Linked DNA regions of Kluyveromyces lactis. The protein of the gene in region 5 interacts with the protein of the main gene of each other region in a biochemical or structural test. Links are inferred from orthologs where the notes say so. Each region holds a gene or a part of one and is shown on either strand. Other genes may lie near its edges. The genes, in order: BOS1, SFT1, GOS1, BET1 and SLY1.

Region 1 (6,451 bases), about 1.1 Mb from region 5:
GAATTACTGAAAACTCCATGAGCCGTTACCAACTACCACTTCATCATCCGAACTGGCACATACATATAGATAATCACGCCTATATTGCATTGCAGTACATTGTCAAGATCCTTTGGCCGTTCTCTTCGTTTTCTTTACGTGATTTTTTTCACGTTTCTACATTCTTTACACGTAGTTCTAAATGAAAAATTGATGAAAAAAACCATTTCGTGGCATTTTATATTTAACACAGTTGACATCTAAAGAAACAAGAAAGCCAAATATTTCTTCCCACATCCTTTCATTGAAGTATCCTCTTCAAGTAACCATCTGTGATTAAACTTAATAGCTCCGTTTTACAGAGGTAAGATACAATATCTCCATCGATAAAAATAGATCAAGAAATGAGTGTTTCAGAGTTTTCGCATAAGGAACAGCCAACCACTTTGGTTTTGTTTGATGTTGATGGTACTTTGACTCCAGCCAGATTGACCGTCTCAGACGAGGTTAGAGACATCTTGAAGAGATTGAGAGAAAAAGTTGTTATTGGTTTCGTTGGTGGTAGTGATTTATCCAAACAGTTGGAACAGTTGGGATCTGATGTTTTGGATCAATTCGACTATGCCTTCTCTGAAAACGGGTTGACCGCTTACAGATTGGGTAAGGAACTAGCTTCTCAATCCTTTATCGAATGGATCGGTGAGGAAGAATACAACAAGTTGGCCAAATTCATCTTGCAATACTTGGCTTCCATCGATTTGCCAAAGAGAAGAGGTACTTTCTTGGAATTCAGAAACGGTATGATTAACGTTTCACCAATTGGTAGAAACGCTTCTACTGCTGAAAGAAACGAATTTGAACAATTTGATAAGGAACACCAAGTCAGAGCTAAGTTCGTCGAAGCTCTAAAGAAGGAATTCGCTCATTTGTCCTTGACCTTCTCAATCGGTGGTCAAATTTCATTTGACGTTTTCCCAACCGGTTGGGATAAGACTTACTGTTTGAGACACGTCGAAGCCGACGGTTTCAAAGAAATCCACTTCTTCGGTGACAAGACTTACAAGGGTGGTAACGACTATGAAATCTACGTCGACGACAGAACTATCGGTCACTCTGTAGAATCTCCTGCTGACACTGTCAGAATCTTAAAGGAATTGTTTGATCTATGAATAATGGTTTCTACGACTTTGTAGTATCGTGTATCAATTAGAGATCATTTGTACCTATTCCTGTCGGGCTTTGCCCCATAATTAAAGTTAAATTAAATACCGAAGTTACTTTTGAAAGCTAACACGTCTTTCCATGGCAACATACCTATGATTGCAGCCTTGTATTATGATACGCATGTATATACATCCACTGAAAGAAAACAATGGACAAAGGTTCAAGTTAGAAGCCTGACATACGCCAAGACAAGTGCAAATGTACCAGTGCATACACCTATTAGCCATTGCATGACTTGCGTCTTCACAGAATCAATTTGCATCTTCATGTTCGTCACTTCTTGATCAATTCTGGTATCGATTTCTTTAATCTGCATATCATGGTGACTACTTTCCTCCCTTATACGACCTTTCTCCAAGGACAAATCCAATTTAAAACCGGCATTGGCCTTCGTGATTTCTTCTCTGAGCTTATTTCTCATCGTTTCCAGATCTTTACGTATCCTTTCGTGTTCATTCTGTAAATTATGGATTTCACTACGGTCCGCTGTAAGCAATTGTTCCCTAAGTTTTGAAAAGTCAACCCTTTGTTGGTAGGTAAGTTTGGTAAGCTTTTCTCTTGAAGCAAGATCTTGTGACACATGTGCCACCCCACCTCGTAACGCATCAATCATTATATTCACTATCACATTAGATTGCTCCTCAGAGAACTTACCTTCATCCATTAAACGCTGCCTGAAATGGTTCGTATCCCTAATGTGCACAGTCTCCATATCATTGTAAAGGATACGAGATGTATGAAGGGTCCGTAATCCTAAAAACCCACGAGGATAAGATGGGAAAGCGAAAGATCTTATCATTGATATCTTTTTCAGTTGTTAAACAAATTTAGAAGACCCCAGTTATTGACAAGATATCGGAGATTTATCGGATATGGAATAACAACAATGTAAAACTTGAAATCGTACTGTTTAGGTATTCAGAAGGAGTTAGCCCCGAAACCAGTGGAATTTAACGTTAGTTGTTTCACCTTTGAGATTGCCATTGAATTTCTATACATATATATATTACATGTTGTTGGAAATAGCCATGTAAAGAGTAAAACAGACGAAACCTTTGAAATTAATGCTAATGAAACTAAAAAAAAAGCCAAAATGAGCTGTCAAATGCTTGATGAGGAAGCGAAGAAATATAGAAAGATTTATTTATAAACAGTGTGCTATATAACGGTGAAGGCGTACCAGTTTGTTAAGGTGTTTCTTGGAAACTGCAAAGTGTTAAAGAGATGTTCCGCCCAATAGTTCGTTGCGGTGCGAATCAAGCTACAAAGATCAGCTATTCTCGGTGTGGTCATCAATTTGTTAATGGGTTCCATTCATCTGCTGTGACACTACTAGGGAAGGAACCTAAGTATGACGATGCAGAAATTATGGCTGAACGCTTGAACAATGCGAATTATGTCGGTAAACGTGTTAAGACAGACTACCAATGGAAGGACAAGTCAGAGGCGCAATCTGAAAAAGAGTACTTTGATAGGATGGAAAAGTTAGCTAAATTGTATGCTGTTCTTCAAGGTCTCCTATTTGTTGGTGGTGTCAGCGCTATTGGTACCGCATATATGATGTGGCCTCAAATCAAGAATTGGTGGATTACTGAAGACATTCATGTAAGTGACGATGTGATTGAAAAATTAAAGGAAAAAAAAGAGCGTAGGAAACTGACCGATATACCTGTAGTTCCAGCTGACTCGGCTGATAGTTCAGTTGTGGGGTTGTATTATTGGGGACAAAGATTGGGAACTGATTCCAAAAAAGCCGTCACCAAGTTCCCATTGAGAGTTCCATTTTTCGATGGTATGAAACTAAGAGATGTTTGCTTAACTGATGATGGAAGTTACGGAAACCTAGCCGTAGACAAGGACGGAAATCTATTTGAGTGGGATAATAGTAAATGTAATTTACTGTTGAAAGATCAAAACTTGGTACAAATCAAAGTTTCGAACGATGTCGCTTATGGTTTGAATAAAAAAGGTGAAGTGCTAGTCATTCCTTTAAAGGATAAGAGCTTATTTTCAGATAAAATTAGTTGGTCAAGGTCACTGTTGCTTCCTTGGAAAACGTACTGCCGTTACTCTTGGAAGCTAGACACAAGATCTGCGTTCCGTTACTCTGGTGAAAAAAAAGTGATCCAATTTGACGTTGGTTCAAACCATTTGGTTCTTCTTTCGAATAAAGGGAAAGCTTATACATGCGCGACTGGTACTAAACACGTTGAAAATGAAAGATCTAAAGGACAATTCGGTATCCCAACGTTCTCGCAATTTGATCCATACCCCGAATTGAATAGGGTATACGAAATCGAACTATTAAATACCGGTATTGCTGGTGATCATGTCACATCCAGATCAATTTCCAAAATCGCATGTGGAGACTATCACACCCTTGCTTGTGACTCAGTCGGGGAACTTTATTCTTTTGGTCTAAATACTTATGGCCAACTCGGCCAAAGCATTAGCTACGATATGGAATATGTACCGTTCCCAAAGAAGGTTAGCAGCTTTAGCGGACACTTTGAGAAACATGATTTCTTGAAGTGTGTCGAAATTAATTGTTCTGGAAACACGTCCTTTGTTAGTATACTTCCACAGGATGTTCATAGATATTTCAAAAACAAGGACTTTGCAATTGATATTGACAATGACAAGGATAACATCACTTATTTTGCCTTTGGTAATGGTATCCAAGGGCAATTAGGTAATGGTCATTTCAAGCATTCGCAATCTACTCCTACTCGAATGAAGGTGATAAACGATCTCAAGGATAATACCGTAAATTCTGATAAGCGCATCTTGATCAGAGATTGGTATTGTGGAGAGCAGCATGCTTTTGTAAGATTAAAGAATGGTGAGATTATGTGCTGGGGTTATAATGAAAATGGCCAACTTGGTAATGGGAAGAAGATCAAATGGGACAAACCAGCTTACATTCCTAGATTGTTAGAACCAGGTGAAAGGTTCAACGGCAAGAACCTAGACATATTGTACGACGAAAATAATAAACTAGTTATTTCAGACGAACAGAGTCTAAGAGCTGGTAAGGAAGCATCTTGTTTATTCTGGAAGGCATAGCGAGTGACTCTCATTAGACCTGATTTTTAAAATCTTGTAAATACATCCTCTTCTCAGTATACGTTACTACGTTTTCATGAGAACATATTACGTCTTTATTTTTATAATGGTGGTAGTTACAAAGAAAGTCTATATTTATTAATATATCTCCGAGTTACTTTGATAAATCTTTATTACAAACATTGATCAGCCGAACCATTTTAGGACGAAATAAATTCCTAAGATTAACAATAGGAGACCAATGTAAAAAATGAGTTTGTCCTTGAACAACCTCTTATTAATCTTTTCGATTGTTTCATTTGATACTCCGAGTACGTGTAGAGATTTTGTCATCTGAGACTGCAATCTCTGAAGGACCCTGTTCTGTTCCATGATATCTTCCAAAGATTCCTGTCCCATCTGTAATATTCTGTCCAAGTGCGCGTTGCCTCTCTCAAAGATCGAGTTCTCTTTCCTCAATCCTTCATATAGTGGTAAACCAGCCGCCGAATTGATAGTCATTCTTTCACTGTTCTGATCTAAGGCGCCTATTCCGAAAGATGTTTGCGGAGGAGCATTGATGTTCCTTTTATTCATCACGGTCTCTTCCACCATTGATGCTTGCTGGTTGAACAACTGATCTCTCGCATTAATTTCTGAGTATTTTTGCTTCAATTCGGTAAATTTCTCTTTTGCATCTTCGTAATCCTGTGTTAAGGTCTGAAGTCTCGTCTCATACTTTAGTTTAGTTTCGTCGTTGTCATCTGAACTATTTATTTGATATTGCTTGTATTGTTCCTTGTACTGATGAAGCGTTTTCTCGAAAGAAACAAGGGTTGTGGCGATCGCCCCTTGCAAAGAGATCGGCGCTGTTACGAGCTCTTTCTCAAATTTACCCAAGTCTTTATTTAGAAGACTTCGCTGCTTGATGGCATGATTATACAACGCGTTCTAGTGATATCGTGGGAAACAATAATTAAGGTAAGTTAGTAAATAAGTAACACATACGCGACGCGTGTCTATAAATGTAGAAATACAATTAGAGCAGCGCTCCAGCGAAACATACCATCTTAGCCCTGTTGTGATCGCAAAAATTCTTGATCGCTAATGAAGATCCAAAAGATTCAAGAAAGGAATACTCTTGAGAAATACAGGAAAATGCTGAGTCAAACGTTGAGCGTCAATCGTCAATTCTGATCGATCTGAATTATCCCAATGCGTATGAATGTTCCATAAACTTTCTTAGTTTCCAGTGGTTCCACTGCTCACAGACGCAATCCTTGTTTAGAAGTTATTTACTGCTACTCAAGTATGACTGCTAAATTGTTGCTGGTTCAATATTATTAGTGGTTCACATTAAAAAAAAAATTAAAGATGCTGGTTTTGAGTCTCACATATATCTATATATAAAGATAGTTTAACAGCGAACCATATCCAGCATAGAGCGGTTGCATACGCACCTAAGTAATCGAATCAGAGTCTCTTCATATCAAATTCCTTCTTGACGATAGTGAGGTTACTGGAAACTGGTTTCAACCTACTCTGCTTTTTGCTTCATTATAAGTTGCCAGATTTTCAGTCCGTTTTGTTTTAGACAGAAAAAGGGATATCATCGGTATAGTATACATTCTATACCATCTTTGCTACTTTTCATTTAGATCTCATCAACACACCGATACATCTGAAAACAATATCAATAGCTTTCAATTGGTAATACTAGAGTTTATCCTCTTTTTTTTTTGCATTCTACGCATTACACTCTTATTTCCATAATAATGACCCCAGCTACCCCTCCAAGTTCTAGGAATAAGAGATCAAATAAGACAGATTTGCTGCTCGCAACTCCAGAGCGAGCCGCGGAATCTGATTCCTCTGGCATGGTTACTCCGGGGACAGTTAGAGTAAAGGATAGATTGCAGCCACCTACTAGACCCATGAATTTAACAAGTCCATGCCCGGCATTAAAGACACCTGAATATACCCCACATAAGAACAAACATACGAAACGCAGGATAGAGTTTGACCAGGAGAAGTTACAACCTGTCAGTAGGGTCTTGTTCGGATCGGATTTCCAAGTAGAAGAAACTTCAAACAACAGGACTTTGCTACCACCAAAGAGAACCGGTATAATGGAGTCTTTCAAAGGCGTTCAAAGTTATAATATCAATGATGAGTATGCTGTCAATAACAAATTCAAACTTGC
Region 2 (6,117 bases), on a different chromosome or scaffold from region 5:
AAAAGCGTCTTTGTCCAATGCTTTCTTGGTATAAAGTAGTGAGTTAAGAGATAAAATAACAACTGCTTTCCGTAGTTTCTCAAAAACTTTTATTCTGATGTCAATAAAAGGGCTGACAACGATGATGTACCCTGGTTCACCCTTTCCATCTGTTTGTTATTTGTTTATGTATTTATTTATTTATCAATTATTTTGTTTTATTTCGATGCTGATTTTTTTTTGTTTCTTTTCCTTGAGAATCAAGAAACGTTCAACGTATTAAGAAACTAAACAATATAGGTCTAAAAGCAACAGTTAGCAGTTTAGAAACCTTACATACAAGTAAATCCTGATTACCGTTAATTTCCGACATGTTAATGAAACAAAGGACCTCGATGATGTAACAGTGTAAACACGAGTAATTTAGATGTACATTATATTATTGTTATAATAATATATACTGATAAGAGTTGAAAACCCTCACTTTAAAATTATATGTATGTATAGTGAGGATAGTCATACGCCTCAAAAGACTTTAAGGAAATGAGGAGTGAGAAATGTTATTTCTATGAAGAAAAGAGATTTTTGAATTTGTAATTGTTGCTAATGAAAGGAATTGGCAAAGCTTCATAATAAACCGATTAAAGTTTAAAAAGTTTAAGCCTTGGCAACAGCCTTCTTAACAGCGTATCTCTTTTGCTTCTTCAAAACCAAAACTTGGAATCTTTCGAAGTCAGACAAAGCAGCACGTCTTTCTCTTTGAGCGATCTTCTTAGCCCAGGAAGAAGTAGCCCATTTTTCAGAGACACCAGCAGCAGCCCACTTCTTTGAAACAGTAGCAGACTTAGCACCTCTTGGAACAGCAAAGGTCAATGGAGTCAAAACGACTTGACCTAAGTTGATAGCTTGTCTTGGGACACCAGTGGTTGGACCATCAATCAAAGCCTGGAAGGAAATTAAAATTAGACAAGTTAATGTCATGGATATTTTGTTAGTAAAAATTGTTCGATACGAGTTTATGGATAGAAACAAAAAAATAACTAGGAAAAGGACTGTCATGTTCATACCAAGTACGAGAGCCATCGAGTATTAACGACACATTCCTAACCTTACCAGAAGGAGGGAAAACAAACGTAGTCTAAACCTCTCTCTCGATGTCTGTTCAGTACAATAGTTTTTCATTCATTTCTCAAAGTATACTTTCTTTAACTCGGGAAACAGTTTATCATGAATCATTCTTTCCTCTTCCTCATATTATTCTTCGGTTCGATCCTATACATCTATGCAACTTTCCCAAATAAAGCATAAGAATACCAGATCGCAGTGTGATCGATATCTGTTCTTATTTCAAATGGAAAGATGGTACTGTACAGGGAATCTCCGTTTCATTATAATCTGTAAAACATACTCTCTTTTGGTCAATGATTTCAACAATAGTGGCCAACTTGCCGGCGGATTGGCCTTGTTTAACCAAAACAACACGGCCAACTTCGACCAATCTCCAGTTAGAAGCTTTAACAACAGAATCAGTGGACATCTTTCACTTGGTTCTTCTTCCGTTCTGTAAATCAAGACCAAACCTAATCTAATATAACGTAATAGTAAGTATTAAACCGTTATTATAGTATACCTTCAAATAGTGTAACAGATAAAGTAGTCAAACAATTTTGTTAAACCTTGGTTCCAAACTCAAACTTCCAACGCAGCCCTGTGTGTCTGTGCGTGTCTATCCGGTGAAGCTGGAATTCGCTATTGTCAGAATCCAGGACGCAGAGTACCTTGGAGTGCTTATTGATGAAAAAGTTGCGTGGGTAACAATGTATGTGGGCTACGGGTTTAAAATACATACCTATTCCAATTTAGGTATTATATTACAGGACGAATTCATTTTCATCCTAACACAGGCGCAACAAAATATGTAATGGTTGGGTGTTTAAAGGACATTATTGAAATATAATGAGATGTACAGGTGTATAAAAGGGCAGTCCCACGAAAATTGTTATCAATGTCCGCATGCTGATTGAATTATATATAAAGAGAGCGTATGAGATGAGGTATGCTGTTTGTATTCACACGATTAAACGGTGGTATTGTTAGACAGTTAATATTAGGATTGTGTTTCAAGTATGAAGCTTGTTCGTCACTTTAATAATAATAGTAACAGCATGAGCAGTAGCCACTGCTATTACTATACCTAGTTTTAGTGATGATTGAGATTTAGCAGCAGGAAGTATGGATTTGAGAAGAATTCTTATCATAATGTTTCGTGGTTTTGGGGTTCGCTTCTTTTCTTTTGAATGATGTTTTATAATTTGCGATCGAGGGCAAGTCATCTCGGGACATGCCTAGTTCCATTATGGGAGTCTTGTGGTATGCGAATAACTTTCGGTCTGACTATTATAGAAAAGAATCCTTTCATTACAACACATTCATTATAACTAATTCTTCTCTTTCTTTCACCTCAGCAGAGGTGAGGAGATAATTATCGTGTACTTCTGCACCTAGTCATGTTCCAATTGTGATCATACTTATATATACCACATATTTCTCAGGTATGGAGGATAAAGCGAACCATAACTATCTTTACGAGATGAAAACAGTTGCCTAACGTTGATTTCATATGAAAATTATAAAACTAACAAACACCAAGATCTACTCTGATTTCGATAATTATGGTTTTCGCTTTGTACCGTTAACAGCGTCATGTATAGTATTTGTATTCACCGTAGCTTTCTTGTACCTTTCGCTATGCTTCGCTGACTGAAATGAAATATCATTTCTAACGTGTTTTGAAGATTCAATTCCCATTATTATGAGCGATAGAATTGAAACACTGTCTGTACCTTAAAAGGCAGGATCAAAGTGCACCTCAGAGTTTATATTATAGCGAAACGTTCACATTTAGCAACTAGAACGCGATATAGAGCCACTCTTGCATAAAGTGAACTCTCACCATGTCGGATTCCAAGTACTCACAGGTGGAAAATGATGTATGTTCTACCAAAAAGACGTTTGATGGCAGAATAGGCTTGAACCTACAGGCGCAGTATCCTTACCGACTGTACGGTATGCAAGTGCCACTTTAAGATCGAAATTTACTAACGTAACGCTCAAACATTTTCTTTAGAATAATCAAAGGTTAGACGAATTGGCCAATAAACTATCTACATTCAGAAATATCAACCAAGATATTGGAAATCAAGCCGCAAATGACAGCTCCCTTATCGACAATATACAGAACTCATTCGGTCAACTTTTCCTTAATGTCAAGAACTCATCTACAAGGCTCCAGAGATCTATGAATGCCGGTAATAATATATGGCGTATGGTGGGTGTATCATTATTGTGTTTCTTCATATTGTACACGATATATAAGGTATTTTAAGAACCTTTTGCTTACTGACCGCAAGTACTCTTCTTTATAGGAAGAAGTTTGAATAAGCAGAAGATATTCGTTGTATATACACATATGTATACATTCAGGTAATGTAATGTCATAGCATCATCCTTTCATGCACCTTGAGCAGCATCTCTTCCCAATCTGTAATTACCGATCCCTTGTCCCCAGTTGATCTTGGCTCTAGTCACGGGTAATCTTCTTCTCAATCCCTTGAACTGTGTTTCATTCATGTACTGGAACTTATTGATGAGATTCTTTTCAAACTCGTTCTCAAACTGCTTGATGCTTACTATTGGTGAATCCGTCTGTGCTGATTCCAAGGAAGCAGTTGATTTGAAACGAACGTTACCGTCTTCGAAGTAATGAGCATCGACGGAGACTTCGCCAGAGATCGTATCCCCATCGACATCATACACATATTCTGATAACCAGTAACCAGTCCAGAAATCACCTAAACTTTTCTTGTTACTGACAACGATTATGGCATATTGGTCGCTCTCTGGAATCTTAAACACGTTGAACACAGCTGTATCAGGGAAGAAGTTTGAAACGTATTTAGACAATTCATCGTAAAGGTCTGATTGTACCTGAGTGGCATCTTCACTGGTATATTCCTCAATATCACTAGCTTCGCGGGTAATATGGTCTACGGCAAATAAAACCTTGTTTACTGGATCGAAATATTTACTTCCAGATTTATTGTATTCAGACACAAGATATCTCTCTTCACCCTTAGCAGCTGGCACTCTGTGCTTCTCATTGAATTCTTGGATAATTGAAGCAATCTGTTGCTTGCTTTGACCATCGCTTAACACTTGTAGATTATCGTAAACCAAAGAGATTTCCTCTGGAGGGGAATCGAATACAATATCTCTCACAATCTTCTCAAATTCAGACATAATATGATTTTCACAGTGTGAATTGATGTTCACCACAATTTACCTTAAAATGACAGGTTAATTGTCTCTAAATCCACTTCTTCACTGGTAGATTTTTGCCTATAACTGTAGTAAATTTTAACTTAAGAGTTCTTTACGATATCGTTATTCGTCTCATTTATTTTTTGAAAGAAAAAGGGACCTTAAATTTGAAGGAACCTAGGCTATCCATGACTTGTACTAGGGAAGAGCTGCAGTTGATTAATGACATGGAAGGCGCGTAAGGCCATGTGTTTTGGCAATATATTGAGATTTAAATACTCTTACAACTAAATAAACATGCTCTCTTGACGTATGTGCAAAGAAATAAGCTTATCATAGGATAGTATTTTTATATAGAAGTGCAGATTAAGCATGAAACAGAACAGATCCACTACTGAGCATTACTGTTAGAGCTCATGTTATAATGTTGAGGCATTTGAGGTTGCTGCGGAGGTATAGACTGCATTGACATACCGGTGTACTGAGGATATGGTGCCAATGGCTGTGGGATATGGTTCGTACCAGTATAATTGGTGTTACCGACTGAGCTCGCATAATTTTGAGGTGAGTTTATTTGACTCAAGGGCTGCTGAGTTTGTTCAGACTGTTGAATTTGTTGAGTTTGTTGAGGTAATGGATATGAATATGGCGGATTTGGTATGCCATTCATTTGCGTTTGTGTATTTGTAGGACTTGTGTATTGAGCAGTTGGTGACATTGGACTTTGTGGGCCTGGAGTTGGTGCAGGTCCCGTCATAGGCGCGGGCGGAGGCGCAGAATAAGCATAAGCATTAGATGCTCGACTTAGCAACTGGTTGTATGTGATTTCAGCATTAGCCAAAATTTGACGTAATGATACGAGATCTTCTTTCTTCTGAGCGTACTTACCAAGCATCTTTGATATCTGTGGGCGAATTGGTGAAACTGATCCGTACAAATCATTTATCTCTTGGTCTTGCGTGATATCTGCGTTTCCAGCTTCTCTCAACTTATTCTGTAGCCTGTCAACATTGTCCTTTTGAGCGAAAACCTGTTCGTCCTTTGCTCTTTCTGCTGCCAATTCTTGTTGAGAAGGTTCTGTAACTGGAGTTACATAATTGAGCGGGAAGATTCCAACGCTCCCAGCAAGCGTTCCTCTCCACCAATCCCTGTACACCTGCTCAACCACACAAATCAGATCCCCTTTCTTGAAAGATAATTCATCCTGTTCTGTAGAATTGAAATCGTACATTGCCCTTACCTTACGTATAACAGTTGGCGCTTGTTGTTGTTGAGCTTCGGCATTCTGAGGGTACAGTTTCTGTTGTTGCTGCTGTTGCTGCTGCTGTTGCTGCTGCTGCTGCTGTTGAGGCTGTTGTACTTGTTGCCTGCTACCCGTCTTTTCAAATTCAAGTAAGGACAATCTTAGTGCCTCTGCGAGCTCTTTTTCCTCTTCAACCTCTCTATCTTTACTCATTTCTTTCTTCTTAGGTACTCGAGGCTCTGAGATCAACTCCGGATGTGATATCTTGATTTTGCTCTCTAGATCATGCATATACTTCAACGAAGGATCGTTCTTGAACGAATCTGCTAACTGATGAACGACTTTCAACACCTCTCTCTTCACCGCTACATGAACCTGAGAATCATCCACTATTTTGTATAAAATGCCAGTAAAATGCTTACTGCTAATTGCTTGCTGTAACCGGCTTCCACAGTTTTCAGCTAGTGCAACTACCAACGACAAGGTCCGAAGAATCATATTGGCATCTTGTTTCAATAACCGTTCTTCAATTATCTTCATAGCATATTGACCCCGGTCTTCCGCATCAACCTTTA
Region 3 (6,391 bases), on a different chromosome or scaffold from region 5:
TGTCGGTATCATTCTTTTGTGGAAAGTTACTTATGATGTGAATGGATTTTCCTTATCCAACTCTTTTACCTCTGAACATTGAAAAGGAACGATGCAAAAACACTATGTGACATTCTGAATTTTTTTCTTGGAATGTTTGAAAAGCATAAAGAACAGTGTGTAATAGCGACGATCCTCCAAGCCAAGTCTCATTTGTACAGTAATATTGTTCCTCTTTCTCAGATCCCACGTTTTGCGCCTGGACCAACGGCCACTCTCATACCAGAATCAGAATACTAAAAGCTAATTCTAAGTATTTGAGGAAAAATACAAAGGTGAAACCAAACCGTCAATTCTTCTTGCCAGATGACGGCTGATGTTCTACTTGTCTTGATTATCGGTTTTGCCCAAGTTCTAGGCAGGCAAGTCAGCTTAGATAATCTCGGAAAAAAAGGAAAAAAAAAAGAACCCTCAGCCGTGGTAGTTGTAAATATTATAGAAACGTTCACATAACTAACTCATCTTTCGAATAATGGATATTTTTCATGTTTACATATCAATAATATCTATAATTTTGCGAAAGTTTTTTAATTAACTGTACAGATTTCGGATATTTACGACTTGCCGAACACTAGTTGAAACGAGAACTCTAGCAATACTAGATAATCAGAATCCTATAGTAGCTGCAGCCATAATTTGCGGTTGAAATGTCACAGACGGCCCAATATGAGCCTGTCAAAGACGCTGGAATATCCAATGGTGACTGGCAGAACGATGACTTTGCAAATGTGAATCATCGTTATCCGACAGGTAGCGTTGACGGGAATGAAAGTAGAATCTCAGGCGAAGGCGGTTATGACGATGATAACGATAGTGCAGATGATGGGGCTACGGTTCCTGTTACTGCCTACGTGCAACAATATCTGGACGAAGGTTCTTATTTTCCTGTGCAAGAGGTGGTACCGAATACGTCACTAAATATGAATAACTATAGGAGGATAAGAAGTAACACCGTAACTTCTAACGTCATGCCACCTAGGCCTACAGAAGGTCCGGGATCCGTGATGTCTAGATCGACGACGGGACCTAATCAAAACAGTCAAACTGCAGCAGATCCAAATGATCCGAGCAACGTGAATGGTGCCGTGACTATGATGGTGAAACCAAAGACTTTATATCAAAACCCTCAAACACCCACAGTTTTACCTTCGACATATTATCCGATCAATAAGTGGTCATCGTTTAAGTACCAACACATGAAGGAATTTTTCGGTGAGTTTTTAGGTACCATGATTATGATGATGTTTGGTACTGCTGTTAACTGTCAAAGGAAACTTTCACAACAAAATCAAATTAACAAATTTAATCAAATTATTCAGTTGAATAACATGGAGTCTGATCAAATAGCTATGCTGCAATATCTTGCAACTCCAGATGTTGCAGGTAATTTCGCAACTGTTGCCTTTGGTTGGGCTGCGGCTGTGGTAATGGGTTATTTTGCAGCAGGTGGTAGTGCAATTTCGGGTGCACATCTGAATCCAGCAATTACGGTGTCAAATTTTGTTTATAGAGGATTCCCTTGGAGAAAATTAGGTGTTTATTTTATGGGACAATACCTGGGCTCGTATATTGGAACCTTATTAATTTTGTGGTACTATCGAGAGGTTATTGAACATGTATATCCAAACTGGCATTTGGAGGAAAGTGTATTGGCAATGTTCAGTGTCGTGCCATTGGATTATCTCTCTACATCAAGACAAATAATTGCAGAATTTCTAATAGGGGCCATGCTGCAGTGTGGAATTTTCTCGTTAACAGATCCTTATACATGTTTGTCCACGGACCTTTTTCCTATGATGCTTTTCATTCTTATGTTTATTCTCAATGCAGCAGGCGCATACCAGACAGGTGCTGTTTTGAATCCTGCGAGAGATATGGGACCTAGGCTAGCTCTCTTAACAATCGGGATGGACAAAGATGTGATTTTTAACACGCATCACCATTTCTTCTGGGTTCCAATGGTCGTTCCATTCGTGGGAAGTTTCACTGGTGGTTTAGTATATGATTTTTGCATATATCAAGGGCACGAATCACCTCTAAACTTACCACTTTCAGCTTATACCGATTGGTTTAGAAGACATTGGGAACTCCTAAAGGTGAAAACATCATCTGGGTTCGTTGGTTCTGATTTAGAAACCATCGGTACTAATAACACAACCTCAAACGTAGAAAGCCACAGATCTCAGACGTCTGAGAACAAACAAGTCCATTTCAAGAGCGTATTGAGGAATTCAAAGACAAGAAATCCTAGCACAGGTATTCCTACAATCTTCGAATCAGAAGAAACAACCTACTCCCGACCAAATTTCATCCAAAAGCATAGTGACAGAAGCGCATGAGAACAAACACAAATGCATTCTTCCCTTTATAACGAATTACGTACCTATCATAGCATTAACAGTGATCTTATCAAGTTTTAATTACCTCAGTTGATACTATTTATGCTGTAAAAAATAGTACTAAGATACAAATTGATATTAAGGATGCCAATATTACAGCATTCTTCTTTCTTCTAGTGTTTATCTTTGATATCACATTATTAATCAAAGGAATGTGTTGCAAAGTCTGTAAGATTCTGTCACTAGACCTTTGTAAAAACACTCGTTGTGACATGAACTGCTCTCTGGTTTCATAAGCCTGGTCTATCAAAGAATCCACCACTGTGTGAGAATTTTCGACTCTCCGAGCCTCATCTTGAATATATTCATTTTGATTATCACTAGCACTATTTTGTAAATCTTTCTTCACTGAAAACAAGAGGTTAAGGCGATTGCGTTCTTGTTGTATGGAGGAGCGAATGTCACGGAACGTTTGCCAATTGTCTTGTAATGTTTCCCTATGGCGCTGTAGCTGTGATAGCTTGGACGTGGATATATTACTTTCACTGTCTGCAATTCTTTGTAAAGATTCCACTGTCTCCTGTCTCTGGTTGAGAATCTTCTCTAGTTTCTCCTGCAATTGCGTTTCTTGTCCTGACGGTTCAGAACTTGTTGTTTGAGCAAAAGAAGAATATTTAGTCAACAGAGAATCCGTTTGTGATTCTAAAGAAATTGCCTTAGATCTGACCGTTACAAATGAAGCTGACATTTCAAACGGTTGTAGCAGTTTGGTCCTTTCTGGTAATCGACATGTGTCTGCTGAGACTTCTTTGGTTTAACTCTTAACATTATATTATCCTTCCTATTTCTATTTTTTTTAATATTTCAATCAAAAGGAAACATAACGGTTGATATTAATCCTTGAACTGGAGGGGATACAAGGGGAATTATAACTTTCATCTAAATATACCTCGAAAAGATGCCTATGTCTCATAAAACATACACTTATACATGATGGAACAATGTTTATTGATGTATGCGAATAAATATTGTCAATCGCTTCGGCATTTGCTCGCGTCTCCCTTTATATAAGCATGATATTTAATGTAGGATCAAAGATCTGCAAATATAGAGATATCCAACGAAGAAGATATCTTTCAGGCTCTGTGCCCACATTTGCATCTGTATCGCAGTTATTGACATGATACCAAACTTCTTTAGTGGTGGGATCTGATGAAAGTGACACTGAAAAGGAATTTAGGGCGATTATAGACCGTAGTTCGACATCAGATAAAAATAAAAGCTTACTCGAGGACACATCTTCATCATCCAAAGCATGTTCCCATAACCGGAACCTTATGGAAGGTACCTGATATACTTTATCGTAGTTAATTTGCAGTTCGATTGTAAGAAACTGCTTTTGTCGCATGTTCACGACAAGAATGTGATCCGAGATTTCTTTAATGAGTTGAACCCGGCTGGCCTTGTCCCATCTTGATACAAGTTTGGCTATTTCAGGTAATTGTTTATTGTATTGTTGCAATGATAACATTTATCTGCTGAAGAGGGTCATCTCAATGATTATTATCTCCCTTATGCATCTGAATCGTTTCAGTTTTAACCTATTTTCAGGTTGATATTGTATCCTACCTAGCTCAAGGAATAAACAGAACCAGAGGTGTAAAAAACCGGAAGGGATGAAATTTAAAATGAAGAAGGGTATTTCGGAAGGATGTAAATTCCGCACATACCGCCAACAACTAAAAATAAGTAATATGAAACTTTCCGTTAAAGAGATTATACAATCAATGCATACGTTGAAAAGTGAAATTTAAGAATAAATATATGAAACGATAAGTTTTTCCACTTATGAGAAAAGCTTATATCAATAAATAATAAAACAGACAAAGTCGTGACATTTCATTTAGGTTAGGATAACAGTATAGGAACTGCTGTATGATGATACGGTGGTGGTTAAAACATAAAGTTGTTTGATAAGTGAGACTTCTTTACGGGCATTGTGAGGAACTCGCATCAGTCTGTAGTTTACCACGATTCATTCTTCCACTTTTCCCTGACGATCAATGGTCTGTTGAAGTATTATATCAACACCAGCCAGAGATAGAGAGAAACTTTACAGTGAAAGAACAATGATGATTGGCGCCAGAGCGGCATGGAGGTATTTGAACTGAAGGAGAGTCTATGTTTTGAAGAATCAAATTAAATGGAATGAAAATGAGAAGCTTGGTGTCAGGTGATTTTTGTGATTGAGATTCCCTTGATTCTATTGAACATTGGTTAAGTGCTCATGTAATGAGCACAGGAAAGCGTTCAATGCATTCCTTTTTTCTAATTTGTTTTTGTTTACTGGTGGAATGGCATATTTTGGAAATGATTTTAAAAGATCAAAATTTAGAGGAAGGAAGTGAAATAACTTTCTGTACTGAAGAGAAATAAAAGATCAAATGCAACCGGAGCAAGAGTAACCTTTTTCGTGGTATTACGAGCCAATATTACCCCATTGCACAATTTAGAATGTTTTGAATCCTCTAATCGACGGCCAAGGCCTTCTTTATTTCTGCGATAGCTCTACCTGGATTCAAACCCTTTGGACAAGTTCTAGTACAGTTCATAATTGTGTGGCATCTGTACAAAGACATGGAGTTTTGTAGCATTTGCTTTCTGATACCAGCAGCTTCGTCTCTTGAATCCACCAACCAACGGTATGCTTGCATTAAAACAGCAGGACCTAAATATTGTTCTTGGTTCCACCAGTAAGATGGACAAGATGTAGAACAACAAGCACATAGAATACATTCATATAAACCATCCAATTTCTTACGGTCAGCAATACTTTGCAAATTTTCCTTACCGTCTGCAGGTACCTCGGATCTTTGCAAGTATGGCTGAATAGACTTATATTGTTTGTAGAAATGAGTCAAATCCGGAACCAAATCTCTGACAATATACATGTGAGGAAGTGGGTAGATCTTTGTTTGTTTATTTTCATTTTGGTCGATTCTGCACAAACAGGCCAAAGTGTTCCTACCACCAATATTCATAGCACAAGAACCACAAATACCTTCTCTACAGGATCTTCTGAAGGTCAAAGTAGCATCTTGTTCGTTTTTAATCTTAATCAAAGCGTCCAAAACCATAGGACCACATTGGTTCAAATCGACTTGGTACTCCTGCAAACGTGGCTTTTCAGCAGGTCTATCTGGACTCCACCTGTAGATCTTGAAAGTCTTTAGCCTTGGAGCAACAGCCTTGGCTTCAGTAGCCAAACCTCTCTTAATGATAGCGTTAAACATTTTGTGTATGTCTTCTTCAATGATATTTTAATGAGATCTTATATTTTTTAGATCTTCTTCTTACTGTCAAATGAAAATCTGAAAACTTAACGGAAAGCGGATAAAGCGTTTATTTTCTATTGTCTGCTGAATATTGGTGTTATATGCTGACTTAGTTAACCAGAGTAAGCCTTAATAATAGTATTGGTAATGGTTTACTGAGAACAGTACTCGGAACGATGCGGTACAGTGTCGTAATATGAAAGTCGCTAAATGGGGACGAAAAAGACAGAGCTCTTAAATTCTTTCAATATATCACAAATTTAAACAAAGTACTTCTATTGAATGCAGGGCAAAAATGATGCTAACGTTCATAAAGTTGCTAATGTCTCGATTATATATATATATACTCAACGAATAAGTATCAAATAAAATTCCAATCCAAGGCCGGCCATTATTGGCAAATCACTGACAGTCATTAATTCCATAGAAACTCCCACTGAAGTGGTTGGCGATGCAGGCAGCTAGCTGAAAACCAAAAACACTCTCTACTTTCCTTGATCAGAAATGAGCGTATAAGCTAAGCTAATCCCTGTTTTCCAATTTAATTTTATTTTTTGCGCCAATTGCTACCTTTCTTTCTGTGCTGAACGACTCCTTCTCCCCTTCCCTTGTCATTTTCTCCTGTTTTATCATTTTTTTACCTAGAAGGGCCCGCTCGGTCTCTTCGGCTGAGCTTGG
Region 4 (6,154 bases), about 360 kb from region 5:
TCCTGTGGGTCAAAGATGATCGCTTCAACGCTCACCTACCCTCATGAAATACTAAGAACCAGGTTACAACTGAAATCTGATATGAAACCTTCCATTAAATCGATAATACGAACGACTTATGCAAAGGAAGGGATAAGAGGGTTTTATTCGGGTTTCCTAACTAATATGTTCAGAACTGTACCGGCATCAGCAATTACTTTAGTCTCGTTTGAATACTTCAGGAAGCATTTCAAACTTTGGAACGATAGTATAGAGGTAGAAAGGGGCGGATAGAATGGATGGGTTTTTTTTTTTCATTATCATCTCTATGTTTCCATTCAATATCTTCGCTTTTCTATATAAATATTTATGCACGACGTTAACTAACACCTACACGTCATATACTTAACTGTATACCCACATACTCACGCGCACGTATTCATTTAAATATTCTCTCATATTCATCGTTAATTAACCAAAAGTCTCTACACTTATCCTTTACTTGTATTGTATTTATTTATATATATATATATGCCTTTATTCATCATTCTTATCAATCAGTATCTTTTTTTGCAGTAATTTAAAATAGCCTTATGCCCATTTTGACTACATGCAACATAGGAAAGGTTGGAAATCAATACGATATATATACATGAGTGAGGTATTGGAGCAATTAGGAATTCTTGTGCTACTAAGAAATATCAGCTAAAGGTTCTATTACCGAAATGGTTTCTCACTTGTGGCTTTTGCAATACTTGATTCTTTCGATACCATTGGTTTTAGGTGCACCACCAAGAGCTAATCCTAATCAAGGTAATGCTGCGGATCCAGAAAGTAAATTACCGTCTCCATTGACTGAAGCCAACTTTGACGAGACCATAGCAAAGAATCTACACATCATCGAATTTTTCAGTCCATATTGCCATCATTGTAAGCAGCTAGCCCCAATTTGGGAAAAGACGTACAATGGCTTTTACGATGAATCCTTGCAGCTCAACATATCTCTCCATCAAGTGGATTGTATCGAGTCAGGAGACTTATGTATGAAAGAGGGTATTAATTCATACCCTACCATCAGATTATATGGACCAGAAGGCTTTATCAAGGCATTTCCCAGAGGTTTGGAACGGACTGAAACAACTTTGCTAAATTTTGCAAGAAAGGAAGCTCTGGATGCAGACAATCTGGATATCACTAAACTATCGAGCAAGAGTAAACTGTTGAATGATGGTGAGCTCTTGAAGATTTTATCAGAACCTCAAACTGAACCATACTTTGTCTCATTTTGGCCAACCTCTGATTTTGAAGATATCGAATCTTCTTATCAGTTCAAAAACTGTGAAGACTGTTCGCTTTTTCAACGGATTTGGAAGTTGGTAAGTAACAAGGCTGACTCGATAGGAATCAATACGGTACATTTCAACTGTGTGAATCCGACAGATTCTTCAAAGAATGAAGCCATTTGTAGGGAGTTGTCCTTCGATACTTTGACTCAGAAGAGAAACTCTAGGTTAGAAAGAGCCCCGGAATTTGCATTGATCTTACCTAACCGCAAGAGTGGTAGTTTTATTAAGTTCCCATTTGGTCCAAAGCGTGTCGATAGCGAATCCTTGATTGATTTTGCTACAAGAACTTTACACAACAGTAACGTTCCAAATATTGATCAGGATGAGATCGAAGCTTTTGTAAAAGAACCAAAAAGTGACATTTTGGAAGCAAATGCCGAAGCCGATAAAATATTGCTTGTATTTAATTATAACCCGGAAACTGTTGTCCCTGAGGATATGCAATTTTTGGAACAACTCATTGACCCATTGGGATACATCCCTAATATTTACTTGTACAAGAACACTGACGACCTAAAGAAGTTAAGCCATACTCTCTATCAAACTCTGTACAAAGATTATAATACCGATCAACGCACTGAAATTAATGAGGACCATTTTATCACGACATCCATTACCCAATCACCAACGTTCTTCATATTCAAGAAATCTACGTTTACTCCGATCATATTCCCTGGATATTCAACAACTGAAACCAGAAATTTGGACTTCATCTTGGATTGGCTCACTATAAACTCTCTTCCAACTGTCACTGAGATTACATCCAAAAACTTTGAAGCATTAAAAGGATTTGAACAAGATTTCTATGACAAGTTGGTAATTCAATTGGTTAATAAGAAGAATAATAAGTTTGAAGAAGGTTCAAAGAAAATCGTCGAAGGCCTACGAGTAGCGGCACATAGTTATGAAATATTGCGTAACGAGGCGGTGTACGAAGGTCTTAAGACGGCCAGAGAAGAAAAGAAAAAACTGGTGCAAAAGCTTAAGAACAAAAACGCACCATCCGTTGATATAGTCACTGCCATGAGAAAAGAGATAAATTACAGTTATAATCACAAGGTCATATTTGCCTATTTGGACATTAATGAATCCCCTTCTCTCTTGAATAATAAAGGTCTAAATGTTTACTTCAGGAAGTTCAAGACTGGTGATATCATTGTCGTGGACAAGCAAAAAGCCATCTATTACGAAAAGGATGCTTCTGGACAATACATCACCCTAGAGACGTTGCCCGAAGTCCTCTCCATTCTGAATTTCCCCGCAAGACACCCTGATCTTCGTATTGAACGCATCTTTTTGAGAACTCCACTCAGTGGATTGCTCAGATTAATTGACTACCTCCGCGAATTTAGCGGAATCAATTACTTATTTGTTGTGGTGACATTCTTGGCGTTATGGAAAATACCCAGAACCATTCATCATTATAAACTGAAAAGACGTTACGCTGCAAAACGGGATACTCATGGTATCCTCGGGAAGGAAGCTAAGCTCATGGATTGAGGAACAGGAATTCTTCCTATAAATAATCTTATATTTCAACCTAATACTGATAGTTACGATTTATTAATATATCTTTTTAATGGTACATATAATGCGTGAAGGAATGCGTTTAACCAATACGAATTAGATATACATGCTCGATGGGATACTCTTCAGTACATGACCCTTTTGTGGTTTTTTATTTCGCTCTCGCTCTCTCAACGTATCCAGACGTAGAAGAACAAAAGTGTCAGAACACCAAATATTATGAACCATATTTTTAATGGAATGCGAGAATTCTGAGCCATCACCATCATTCTCTTGAAAGTCCTTTTCAAACGGTTGCTAGTCTGTTCAAAAACGTTTCCTAACTGATCTAAGGTCTGATTGCTACCACGAATCTCATCTCCCATTCGTAGAGATAAATTCTTTAGTGCGTTGATCTTTTCACTCATGGTATTCATTTGTTCATCACTTTGAGACTCGAGCTGCGAAAGTGTTGCTTGAGAATAATCTACCCCTGGGGATGGTCTATCAAACGGCGAACTTGGTCTATCCTGTTGTTGTTTATACTTAGAGAAGTCAGTACCCGCAAACAATTGCGTCCTACTCGCATCTCGCTGTGTCAAATCACCTTGCATTCCACTATAGTTTGAACTCATACCTTAATTATTTCTAGTGCCTCAACAATAAAATACAAAGTGTAGATTTGTCAAGATACTCAGATCTAACCATAGGGAATTAAGTGCAGTTTCACCTTGGAACTTCCTAGTCCATCTGTAAGCTACTACCAAATCGATTCGCTTAACGAAAACTTTTTGTTGAAGTTTAATCACGTGATATTGTCCTCGAAGGTTTCCCCTTCGCTCTGACAAAGGTATCATTATCATCATGAAATCCTAGTTAAGCTAAGAGTTAAATGTATTAGTCAACCTACTGTTTAAACGGCTGAGAAAAGTATTTGCAGTATACCCTTTTATAAGTATTCTGTCCACTGTGAGCATATACAGTCATATCTGCAGTGGCTGGTACGTTTAGTGTCCCAGGATCATAATCAATTGTATCTCGATGTCAGCTGAAACCGAATTATTGGGTATGCCTGAGTCCTTAAAGGACATCAAGCACATTATATTGGTCCTTTCTGGTAAAGGTGGTGTTGGTAAGTCATCTGTCACCACACAGACAGCATTAACTTTATGTTTAAAGGGATACAAAGTGGGTGTTTTAGACATTGATCTAACTGGACCGTCGTTGCCTAGAATGTTTGGTTTAGAAAATAAACAGGTTTATCAGGCTTCTAAGGGTTGGATACCCGTTAGTGTTCCTACGACATCAGGAGGGGAATTGAAACTCATGTCCTTGGGTTTTCTTTTGGATGATAGAGGTAATAGTGTGGTATGGCGTGGTCCTAAGAAAAGTGCTATGATTAAACAATTTATAAAAGATGTGGATTGGGGAGATTTGGACTATTTGATTATCGATACACCGCCCGGAACTTCGGATGAACATATATCTATCGCAGAAGAGTTGAGGTGGGCTGCACCTGATGGTGCTATTATTGTTACCACGCCTCAAGGTGTCGCTACGGCAGACGTGAGAAAGGAAATCAATTTCTGTAAGAAAGTCAACTTCAATATACTCGGTGTCATCGAGAATATGTCCGGATTTATATGTCCTCATTGTGCTGAATGTACAGATATCTTCTCTAGAGGAGGCGGTTTCAAATTAGCCAGCGAATATAACGTTCCGTACCTGGGGAATATTCCAATTGATCCGACGTTTGTCGAGTTGATTGAGAAACAGACTGGGTTCAAAGAGAGCTTAGTTGATCTCTACAAGGATTCTGGATTGTATGTCATTTTCTCAAAGATATTAGATAATGTACTGAACGGTGAAGTAAAAAGTGGAACAGATCAATAATGGGTAAATTTGACATGAAACTTTTCATAAGTCAGCCGATTTGCTCATGCCTCGAGGTCTAGTGAACGGTTCTGTGATACATATATGCTCAAGAGTTGTAGCGATTGATGGCCTTGATGTACTCCGGATTGATGACAGTGCTAATGGCGCCGAGGATATCGACTGACGGTACGATTTGGTGGTGTTTGAGTCCGCTGAATTTCCTTTGGTACTATGATAATCTTTTTTAGCATTATTTTGGCTTCCATTTGTACTTTGCCTCGAATAAGAGCTGTTCAAACTCTCGGAATTAGCTTCGTTCTGTGACTGCCCACTATTGTCCTTATTCGCTTCGGTTTCTGTCGTGTTACTACTCTCTGGGAACCTTTCTTGCAACAGCTTTGAAATTTTGCTGAATTGCGTCGCATCAACTTTTATACTACCGTTTCTAGTTACGTAGTCTAATAATTCTTCATTCACATCTCTGATTATTCGTACCTTCTTATCAATGTCAGAATATTTGCTTTCGAACTGTTTTAACTGTTTATCCGAATCCTTAGTGAATTTTGATCGTAGTTTTACTAACTTAGAAAAGCTAGACTCTAGTTTTTTTACCGAGTGGTTGATCTTGTTATTTACTTCTTTCGTCTGCGATTGTTCTGTATCGATTTCTTCCTGAAGTCTCGAATAAATTATGGCAACATCGTCACTGATTTGATTTACTTCCTTGGCCACATTGGAGAATATATGATCTTGTCTCAATGAAGAGGAAGAGGGAAGCAAAGGCAATGATTGCAACTGTTTAGAATAATCACTCTTTTCAATTGTCGCAAAGTGGAAGCTCTCTCGCTTCCTCAGGTGCTTCGAATCTCCATAGAATAGGAAACTCATCTTATAGCAGTTGGAATCTCAACCTTCAAAGAACCTTAAAGTTATTGATGGCACTGGGTCAGTACAAGTATAAAAATTTTAGCCAATAAATAATGGTTCCTGAGTACACTAATAGTTTAGTTCAACTGAGCCTTTCTCGCTGTTCTTTCTCTGACAAACGTGCCCTTAATACGTTGGTTTAATGCGTGTCTATTTTAAGGTTCGCATTTATGGTTCTTAAACGTTTTTTCATATAAAATTCAGGCAACCTCTTTACAATACATGTCATCATGAAAGAAAGATTGTTTAAGTTGATTTGAAATCGTTCCGGATGTGTAGTCTAGGGGTATTCATGGTTACTGAATTCAATTGGATTGATGAGATTAACTCTATTGGATTCATTTAAAGGTCAATTGATTGCTAGTCCTTTTTTTCCTATTGTCGATTGAGAGAGTTACTATATATATAGAAACCATTCCATGTGTTGAATACCCTTACGTTGACCAATTGATCTCATAATTTCATTTCTTTAGTAATGATAGAAATATTGGCTATTTTATCGTTGTTTGGTGGGTGCTGTT
Region 5 (7,841 bases):
ATGAAAAGAAAAAAAGTTGAAGAAGCAAAGCTTTTAGCCGTCCTTTTCTTATTCGGACACCATAGTTTCATTTGATAAGGATATCAAGCTGTTTGCCCTGACAAGCTATACAAACATTTTTTGAACCTTTAGCTGTAAGATACTGTGAGCACGACATTGGTGGATTTCTTACCTCGATTGCATTGGTCCTGCTCAACTGTCAATGCAGCGTAGAAACTAAATAAAAAAAAAAGGCATGATATCTAATCACGTGGACAACTATCAATTCCGTATGTGATGATATGTATGCTTTTCTTGTTTACTGGGCAATTTAGAAGAAAAAACAGCAGTCGACATCTCTTCAAATCTGGGTTTCTTTGATGATTTTCAAGTATTGACCGGTCTTCTTTAGCTAGCTTTCGATTGAGTAGTAGTAACGGATCAGCCTTTCAATTTTTTAATAGTCCTGCAGTCGAAAGAAAACTAGGAGAAGATATCTATTATTACCATCTATATTTTCCTTCTTGCGATAGTATAACGTTAACATGGTACAAATCAGTGAAGTGCAGGAACAATCAAGCACTGCGTATACCCGTACTGCAGCTCACACACACATTAAAGGGTTAGGTTTAGATGAGTTTGGTGTAGCAAAGCAAGTGGAAGGTGGTTTTGTGGGGCAAGCAGAAGCTCGGGAAGCGTGTGGTGTCATCGTCGATTTGATCAAAGCCAAGAAAATGTCTGGTAAAGCTATCTTATTGGCTGGTGGGCCATCCACTGGTAAGACAGCTTTGGCTTTGGCAATATCGCAGGAACTTGGTCCTAAAGTTCCATTTTGTCCCTTAGTGGGCTCTGAATTGTATTCCGTTGAAGTGAAAAAGACAGAAGCTTTGATGGAAAACTTCAGAAGAGCCATTGGATTAAGAATTAAAGAAACAAAGGAAGTTTACGAAGGTGAAGTTACCGAATTAACTCCAGAGGAAGCGGAAAATCCGTTGGGTGGTTATGGTAAGACAATCTCGCATGTTATCGTCGGATTGAAGTCTGCCAAGGGTACTAAGACATTGAGGCTTGATCCAACTATATACGAAAGCATTCAAAGAGAAAAGGTTTCTGTTGGTGACGTTATTTATATCGAATCAAATACAGGTGCGGTGAAAAGAGTTGGTAGATCAGATGCCTTCGCAACTGAATTCGATTTGGAAGCGGAAGAGTACGTTCCCCTTCCAAAGGGAGAAGTGCATAAGAAGAAGGAAATAGTTCAGGATGTCACTTTACATGATCTAGATGTCGCTAATGCCAGACCTCAAGGTGGACAAGATGTCATTTCGATGATGGGACAGCTCATGAAACCAAAGAAGACAGAGATAACAGAAAAGCTTAGACACGAGGTTAATAAGGTTGTCGCAAAGTACATTGACCAAGGTGTAGCAGAACTTGTCCCGGGTGTTCTTTTCATTGATGAAGTGAATATGCTTGACATCGAAATATTTACTTACTTAAACAGAGCATTAGAATCTGATATTGCACCTGTGGTTGTTTTGGCCTCAAACAGAGGAATGATCACCGTACGCGGCACTGACGACGTTGTTTCTCCTCACGGTGTTCCACCAGATTTGATAGATAGACTCCTAATTGTTCGAACTCTACCTTATAACAGAGAAGAGATCAAAACAATCATATCAAAGAGAGCTGCTGTAGAGAACTTGCAGGTGGAGGACGAAGCATTGGAATTTTTGGCGACTTTAGGCACAGAAACTTCTTTGCGTTATGTTCTACAGCTTCTATCACCATCAGGTATCATTGCTAAGATTGCAAACCGCGCCGAAATATCGGTGGCAGATGTTGAAGAAGCAAAGCTATTATTTTTAGATGCTAAAAGGTCTACGAAGATCTTGGAACAATCTGAAAATTACTTGTAACTTTAATTTCGTGTTAACATGGCATCTTACTTCATCAAAGTATAAGTTTATTATAAATATATACTGACAACAAATAAAATCATAAATCTATATTATAACCTCACTTTTTAAATCCTGAGATCTCTTTCAAGAATCCGTTAGGGGAGATTATATCAGTGCTACCATAAATGACCTTCTTGTTGCTATTTTCATGTTGGTGAACCCATTCTTGAAGATTTTGGTATTCAAAGTAATTACCGCCACCTACAACAAACACCAAGGATTTATTATATGTCTGACTCTTTGGTAGCTTCTCGTGCGAACCCCTTGTGCTTCTAGGATCAAAGTAAAGATATTCACTTGTAATGTGAAGGTTCTTTTTTGAGCTGTTCAATGGATCCATGATGGCTTCGACGATATTGGTAATGGGAATCGTTTTCTTCTCGGGAAGAAGTTGTTTGATTCCAGAAAGAAGAGAACTAACACCTTGTATTTTCCCCTCAGTTAATCCATATAACTTGTTTGATAGTCCGGAGAGAAGCTGTGATGCGTTACCGTCCTGGCCTTCTGAATTAGCGGATGTATGCGTTTCTAATGATTTATTTTGTAATGCCATTGAAGAGAGTTTGAACATATGTCTCAAATCATATATGTACTTTAATGCGCTGATATCATACTCGACGCTTTGGAAATATTGCTCCACTTCTTTGACAAAGGCGCTAGGCAATATTTCTTGTGCTGTCAGGTACATTATGATATACGTACGCGCCTTATCTTCGATGTTGTTAGTCTTTCCATCTTTAAGAGCAGCAAGGAAATCTTGTCTGGTTTTAGAAGAATCGGAAGATTGTTCCAACTCAAAGAAAGAATCTAAGCCTTTGCTTTCAAGCTGTTTCAAAAGCCCTGCGAGAACTGTCATGTGTGTATCAATGGTAGATTTTCTAGCTGTGAGAAGTGGTAATTTTTTCACAGCTTCTTGAATTTGTATAGTGTCACTTTGTCCTGTTGGATCAAGATCTGTCAAATTGCTTACACCAGTCTTCTTGGTAATTTCTTCTGCATCTTTTTTGTAATTCGAAAGTTCAGTTTCCACGTTCTCGACAGCATCAGGGAATGGTAGATGAGAATTGGCAATCCAGAAAAAATCTTTTGGGTCTATATCCATTTTTTTAATAACCTCTTCGTTTTGCTCGTTGGTGGTAGGCATGGTTATAGTGTTTCTTGATAATTTGAAAACATCAAATACCAAACATTGATAAATCCAGGAATGTGCAAACATAGAAGCAATGTCAATATTTCTATCCACTATAACAAGAACAAACCGCTCAAATGAAGTTGATCCACTAGCTGAAGATCTGGTACCATTGACATAATCACGCAGTTTGGTTTCAAGTTTTTGAGCCACCATTTCAGCAGCACCACCCCTTTGTGCTCTAATAATAGGTATAGTTCCAATTGTGACGATAGCATTGAAGATCCCAGTAGCAATTGAATCGCATAGATTAGTGATAACGTCCTCAGAACTCTGAGGATTATTAATAAGTCCATAAGTGCCGGGCATCTCCAATGAAAACATTTCCGGTTCTGTTACAACGAAATCCAAATATTGATCGTACACTTGTTTTATTCTGTCAGACTTGCCAGTAGCAGAAGCCTTGCTTGCAAAGGTTTCTAAAAGATCTCTTTTCAATGTAGTTGTGAAATTGATGTATGTTTCTGAATACTTATCTTCTTTCAAGTCCTGGACAATCGCATCGATGTTCGCTTCTGTTGGTTCCACGAAATACACTGCTGGAACATCAGGTAAAGGGGATCTCTGTTGTGTGATAAGGGCGTGAACTGTAACATTGGATTTTAACAAGTCATTGACTCTCATAACAGATGATATTATAGCGGTGCTCCTAGCATCCATGATCAGTACTTTCCAAACGATCTCTTGTTCATCAAGATTGCTTGTTGCTGCTTCCGTTCCTTTATCTGAATTGAACAGTAGCATCTTTTCAATAGACAGAATCTGTCTGTCTCTTAAGGACAATTCTGAATTCAGCATATTACTCTGGTATATATGTGATCCCGATGAGGTATGCTGTTCAATGGTTTGCAGTCAATGACTTCACTCTCGTCCGTACTTTCTGTACTTTTGGTGTGTCTGTTTATTATAAAGGTGCTTCCAGTTTTGATGTTTAATCATTTTTTGAAGTATATTAGTATTTCGTTTTCGGTGATGGAAACGGTATTTGGCCAACACGTAGATTTGGATCTATAGCACTCGTGAAGAGATCGCATATTACATATACATCGGCCAAACTTGAGTCTTGTACTTCGTATTTATTTCCATTTAGTATACATAATTCTATTTGATTTTGGAACCTACGTTAAAGACAGTGATATTTTTTAATTGTACCAGCTTCATTATTGTGGTGGACCTTCCTTCAATGTAGATCTACCGGCTCTGAGTAGTTCGTCGCATAGCAACAAGTTAGAGGCTATACCTGCGGCACCAGTTACTGCATTTCTGAGGACACGATAAGAGTCCCAAACACCTTCTATAGTTGGATCACAAGAGTCGCCAATATTTAGATCAACACCCACTATTCTTGTCTCATCTTCTTCCAACTCGTCTTGGCATTGGGCAAGTACATCAAGGGCATCATATCCGGAATTCTTTATTAATGTCTTAGGAATAGACAAAAGTGCGTCTGAAAAGGCTTGTACACCTGTTTTTGCTTTACCTTTGGCGCCTAGCTTGTTCATATTCGCCCTTTTCAAGTGCTGGGAAGCAGAAATGAAGAATGCCCCAGCGCCAGGAACGACAGCACTGTCTTTGATGACATTTGCAACAGCTCTTAAACCATCTCTTACTGCATCTTTGGTTTGGGTCAAAGCGTGGTGAGTAGAACCTTTAATCAAAATGGTACAAGACTTAGGATCTCTGTTTTCGGTGACGTAAGTAAATTTCTCCTCGCCGATAGTTTCCTGGTAAACCAATCCGGAATAACCTAAAATTTTAGGCGAAAGATCATCAACGGAATTTTGAGCTTCACCCCCAGTGACGAGTTGTAGTCTTTCCATATTACGTCTCTTGGCTCTTCTTAGAGCAAGAATGTTGTGTTTAGCAAGAACATCTAATGACATTGGGTCGATACCTTTTTGGTTTATGATAACAAAACCCTCTTTAGAATCCATACCACATACTTCATTCTTCAAGTCGATGATTTTTTTTAATTTCTCATCAACAAATTTTCTTTCACTAGCAGCCAACTTGTCTCGTTGGTCAGCAGAGCTGTAAAAGAAACCAGAGTTGACTTCCGTCTTCTCATATTCCAAAGAAACATTTAGAATCAAAACATGTGCATTTTCGACTCTGGTTGGCATATCAGGATGTCTTCCTCCATGATCCAAAATTAATCCTTTAACAAAAGTGGTATCCTGTGGAGATAGATGTTGCATTTGCATTATTTCAATCATGTGTAAATCTAGATTTCTGTTGTTAGGATCTTGAACAGCCAAAACAGCATCAGTGACGATTGGTGTTAAAACTTCAGTGAGTTCTGGGTTGACTTTAGTACATAAGGAACTTCTGGCAACCTGCAATAAAAATTCACGATCCAAATCCTCCTCAGCGCTCTTTTCGATTTTGAAGGTATCCAAAAAACTTAAGGTTTCCTTTCTTGCAATCTCAAACCCGTCAGTAATTGTTCTTGGATGGACACCTTCTTGAATATATCTATAAGCTTGTTTCATCAGTTCTCCCACCAAGCAGACAACGGTTGTAGTACCGTCCCCAGTAATTTCATCTTGGGCAGTGGCTGCACGAGCAATCATGACAGCAGTCGGAGACTGTATTTGCATTTCAGTCAATAGGACTTTACCATCTTTGGTCAACTTGATATTACCGGCACCATCGACCAACATTTTCAAAGTACCCTTAGGTCCTAGGTTAGTTTCCAAAACGGATTGAAGACCCTCCGCTGAAGTGACGTTGACTTTTAAAGCAGCATCTCTTCTTAGGGACTCGGCCTTTGGATTTAACAACTGAACTGACATAATTATCTTGCTTTCTCTCTATTATGCACTGCACGTAATTGGTATTGTCAAATTATGACTTTTGATCTGGATAATAAGATGCAAGCAATTGACTGCAATGAATATCACAACTAAATATTAGAGAGTATAGATTGATTTCGGTTCTATTAGAATCAACGTTGTGGACGAAAATGCAACAGTATCTTTCACTCTTTTGAATGTTATTCTTCTTCAACACCGAACGTTAGCCATAATTAAAAGCTTTACTTTCTCCATCAGAAAACTTAGATCACTGTTTTCGATTAATTTTTTTTCTTTGGAAGTGGCGAAAGCTAATGGTTACCCGGTTATTGAAGCAAAGCAACAATCCATGCTGTCGTGATCCTCATATTTATGCAAAGATGATGAAGATTATACTTTAGTAGGACCGCACATCTTCAGTATAATAAATACTAATAGTGGTTTTCAATGAGAATTCTCTAAATATTTTGGTCTTCTGTAAATTGATTTATATGATGATATGTATTGAATCTATTCACATGAAAGACTATGCCGAAATGATGTCCGTTATGACGACGATGATGGCTGTTTTATGGATTGTTTCCTATACGAAACGAGGTAAACAGTAACTTTCTCTATTGATATTCATTTTTTAACTATTGTCATTTCACTGGGTCTATTTTATCCTATTTCTTGGGCCGCCTGGAGACTTCTTGTTCCTTGCCGTCAAGACTTCAACACCATTCTCGGTGACCAAAAGGGTTTGCTCAAACTGAGCACTAACTTTACCATCCTTTGTTGAAGAAGTCCAATCGTCAGGCCAGGTGATATCTTGCCATACACCTTCGTTAATCATAGGTTCTATAGTGAAGACCATTCCAGGTTTCATGACACCGGGCGTTCTGTTGTTAGCATAATGTGGAATGCTGGGGGCACAGTGGAAAAACTCACCGACACCATGACCACAGTAAGTCCTAACAACAGAGCATTTGTTGGATTTGGAGTGCTTTTCAATGCAGTCTCCCAAGGATTGAAAAGTTACGCCTGGTTTACACATCTTGATGGCGAGTTTCAAACATTCACGGGCAGTTTCAACGGTATTTATGACATCCTTGGCGATAGTCTCACCAACGTAGTAAGTTTCGTTTAAATCTGCATGCATGCCTTGGTAATACAATGAGACATCTAAATTGACAATATCTCCCTCTTTTAGAACATATTTGTCAGGAACACCATGACAGATAATCTCGTTCACAGAAGTACAGACGGATTTAGGGAAATTATAGTAGTTGAGAGGAGATGGGTATGCTCCCCTCTTGATAGTCTCGTTATGCACTATCTCATCAATTTCATCCGTAGTGATACCTGGTCTAACTGCGGCGGCCGCAACATCTAGCACTTCTCTACCTAGAGCACAAGCTTTTCTGATCCTCTTAATTTGCTCCTTATTGTAGACAGGAATCTTGTTTGTTCTATCATTTCTTTGTTCGATGATGGGTAGCCCATTTTCTGCCCAATCTGGTTTCTCGATCTCATCTGGGACCTGTCTTTTTGGCGACAGAGGGTATTGAGCTTTCAGCTTGCCAGTATACTTGAATTTTGGAAACGGATCATACACCTCACCAGAACCATCTGTACCATAATGTAAAGCCTTATGCTGTTTGTACCCGTCTTTGAAACAAGATTCTCCACAAAAGACCTCTTCAATACCTTGCTTCAAGCAAATCGGGCATTTTAACATCGAATCTGTAACTTTACCACATTGTAGACTAGAACAACGGACATTAGCGATTTTTTCCTGCATTTTTTCCTCTTAGTGTCTTCCAAGATTTACAGCTGCTATGTCAGTAAGTGCAGTTCAGAAACACCTTCTATATCACTTGGAATACGTTTGGTATAAATAAGTGAGAGAGAGGAGTAGAAAGAGCTGTATCTGAG

What was found.
Region 1: the proteins of SLY1 (region 5) and BOS1 form a complex in vitro, tested with the Saccharomyces cerevisiae proteins (2 studies listed by BioGRID). The link is inferred for Kluyveromyces lactis from reciprocal best matches to the Saccharomyces cerevisiae genes SLY1 and BOS1.
Region 2: the proteins of SLY1 (region 5) and SFT1 form a complex in vitro, tested with the Saccharomyces cerevisiae proteins (2 studies listed by BioGRID). The link is inferred for Kluyveromyces lactis from reciprocal best matches to the Saccharomyces cerevisiae genes SLY1 and SFT1.
Region 3: the proteins of SLY1 (region 5) and GOS1 form a complex in vitro, tested with the Saccharomyces cerevisiae proteins (2 studies listed by BioGRID). The link is inferred for Kluyveromyces lactis from reciprocal best matches to the Saccharomyces cerevisiae genes SLY1 and GOS1.
Region 4: the proteins of SLY1 (region 5) and BET1 form a complex in vitro, tested with the Saccharomyces cerevisiae proteins (2 studies listed by BioGRID). The link is inferred for Kluyveromyces lactis from reciprocal best matches to the Saccharomyces cerevisiae genes SLY1 and BET1.

What each region holds. Positions count from the first base shown.
Region 1 is NC_006040.1:492,324-498,774, forward strand, and holds BOS1 (Bos1p), read right to left. Parts: upstream 5,318-6,451; coding exon 5,315-5,317; intron 5,200-5,314; coding exon 4,456-5,199; downstream 1-4,455. Other genes in the region: phosphomannomutase SEC53, read left to right, coding at 384-1,148; FMP32 (Fmp32p), read right to left, coding at 1,364-2,002; FMP25 (Fmp25p), read left to right, coding at 2,428-4,269; cyclin-dependent protein serine/threonine kinase inhibiting protein SIC1, read left to right, coding at 6,024-6,451.
Region 2 is NC_006038.1:1,174,166-1,180,282, forward strand, and holds SFT1 (Sft1p), read left to right. Parts: upstream 1-2,933; coding exon 2,934-2,969; intron 2,970-3,106; coding exon 3,107-3,364; downstream 3,365-6,117. Other genes in the region: RPL14A (60S ribosomal protein eL14), read right to left, coding at 637-924, 1,388-1,516; CAP1 (Cap1p), read right to left, coding at 3,490-4,278; ESCRT-0 subunit protein HSE1, read right to left, coding at 4,691-6,117. UniProt on the Saccharomyces cerevisiae protein: Vesicle SNARE required for retrograde transport within the Golgi complex.
Region 3 is NC_006041.1:52,417-58,807, forward strand, and holds GOS1 (Gos1p), read right to left. Parts: upstream 3,127-6,391; coding exon 2,479-3,126; downstream 1-2,478. Other genes in the region: FPS1 (Fps1p), read left to right, coding at 687-2,378; ATG10 (E2-like conjugating enzyme), read right to left, coding at 3,442-3,909; succinate dehydrogenase iron-sulfur protein subunit SDH2, read right to left, coding at 4,907-5,671. UniProt on the Saccharomyces cerevisiae protein: Involved in transport from the ER to the Golgi apparatus as well as in intra-Golgi transport. It belongs to a super-family of proteins called t-SNAREs or soluble NSF (N-ethylmaleimide-sensitive factor) attachment protein receptor.
Region 4 is NC_006040.1:1,197,641-1,203,794, reverse strand, and holds BET1 (Bet1p), read right to left. Parts: upstream 3,467-6,154; coding exon 3,023-3,466; downstream 1-3,022. Other genes in the region: YIA6 (NAD+ transporter), read left to right, coding at 1-273; protein disulfide isomerase EPS1, read left to right, coding at 705-2,825; iron-sulfur cluster assembly protein CFD1, read left to right, coding at 3,873-4,724; VAB2 (Vab2p), read right to left, coding at 4,749-5,594; YEA4 (Yea4p), read left to right, coding at 6,109-6,154. UniProt on the Saccharomyces cerevisiae protein: SNARE required for targeting and fusion of ER-derived transport vesicles with the Golgi complex.
Region 5 is NC_006040.1:1,554,821-1,562,661, reverse strand, and holds SLY1 (syntaxin-binding protein), read right to left. Parts: upstream 3,928-7,841; coding exon 1,999-3,927; downstream 1-1,998. Other genes in the region: RVB1 (RuvB family ATP-dependent DNA helicase pontin), read left to right, coding at 525-1,898; chaperonin-containing T-complex subunit CCT6, read right to left, coding at 4,290-5,924; methionine aminopeptidase MAP1, read right to left, coding at 6,580-7,707. UniProt on the Saccharomyces cerevisiae protein: Able to suppress the functional loss of YPT1. SLY1 is essential for cell viability. May interact indirectly, or directly with YPT1.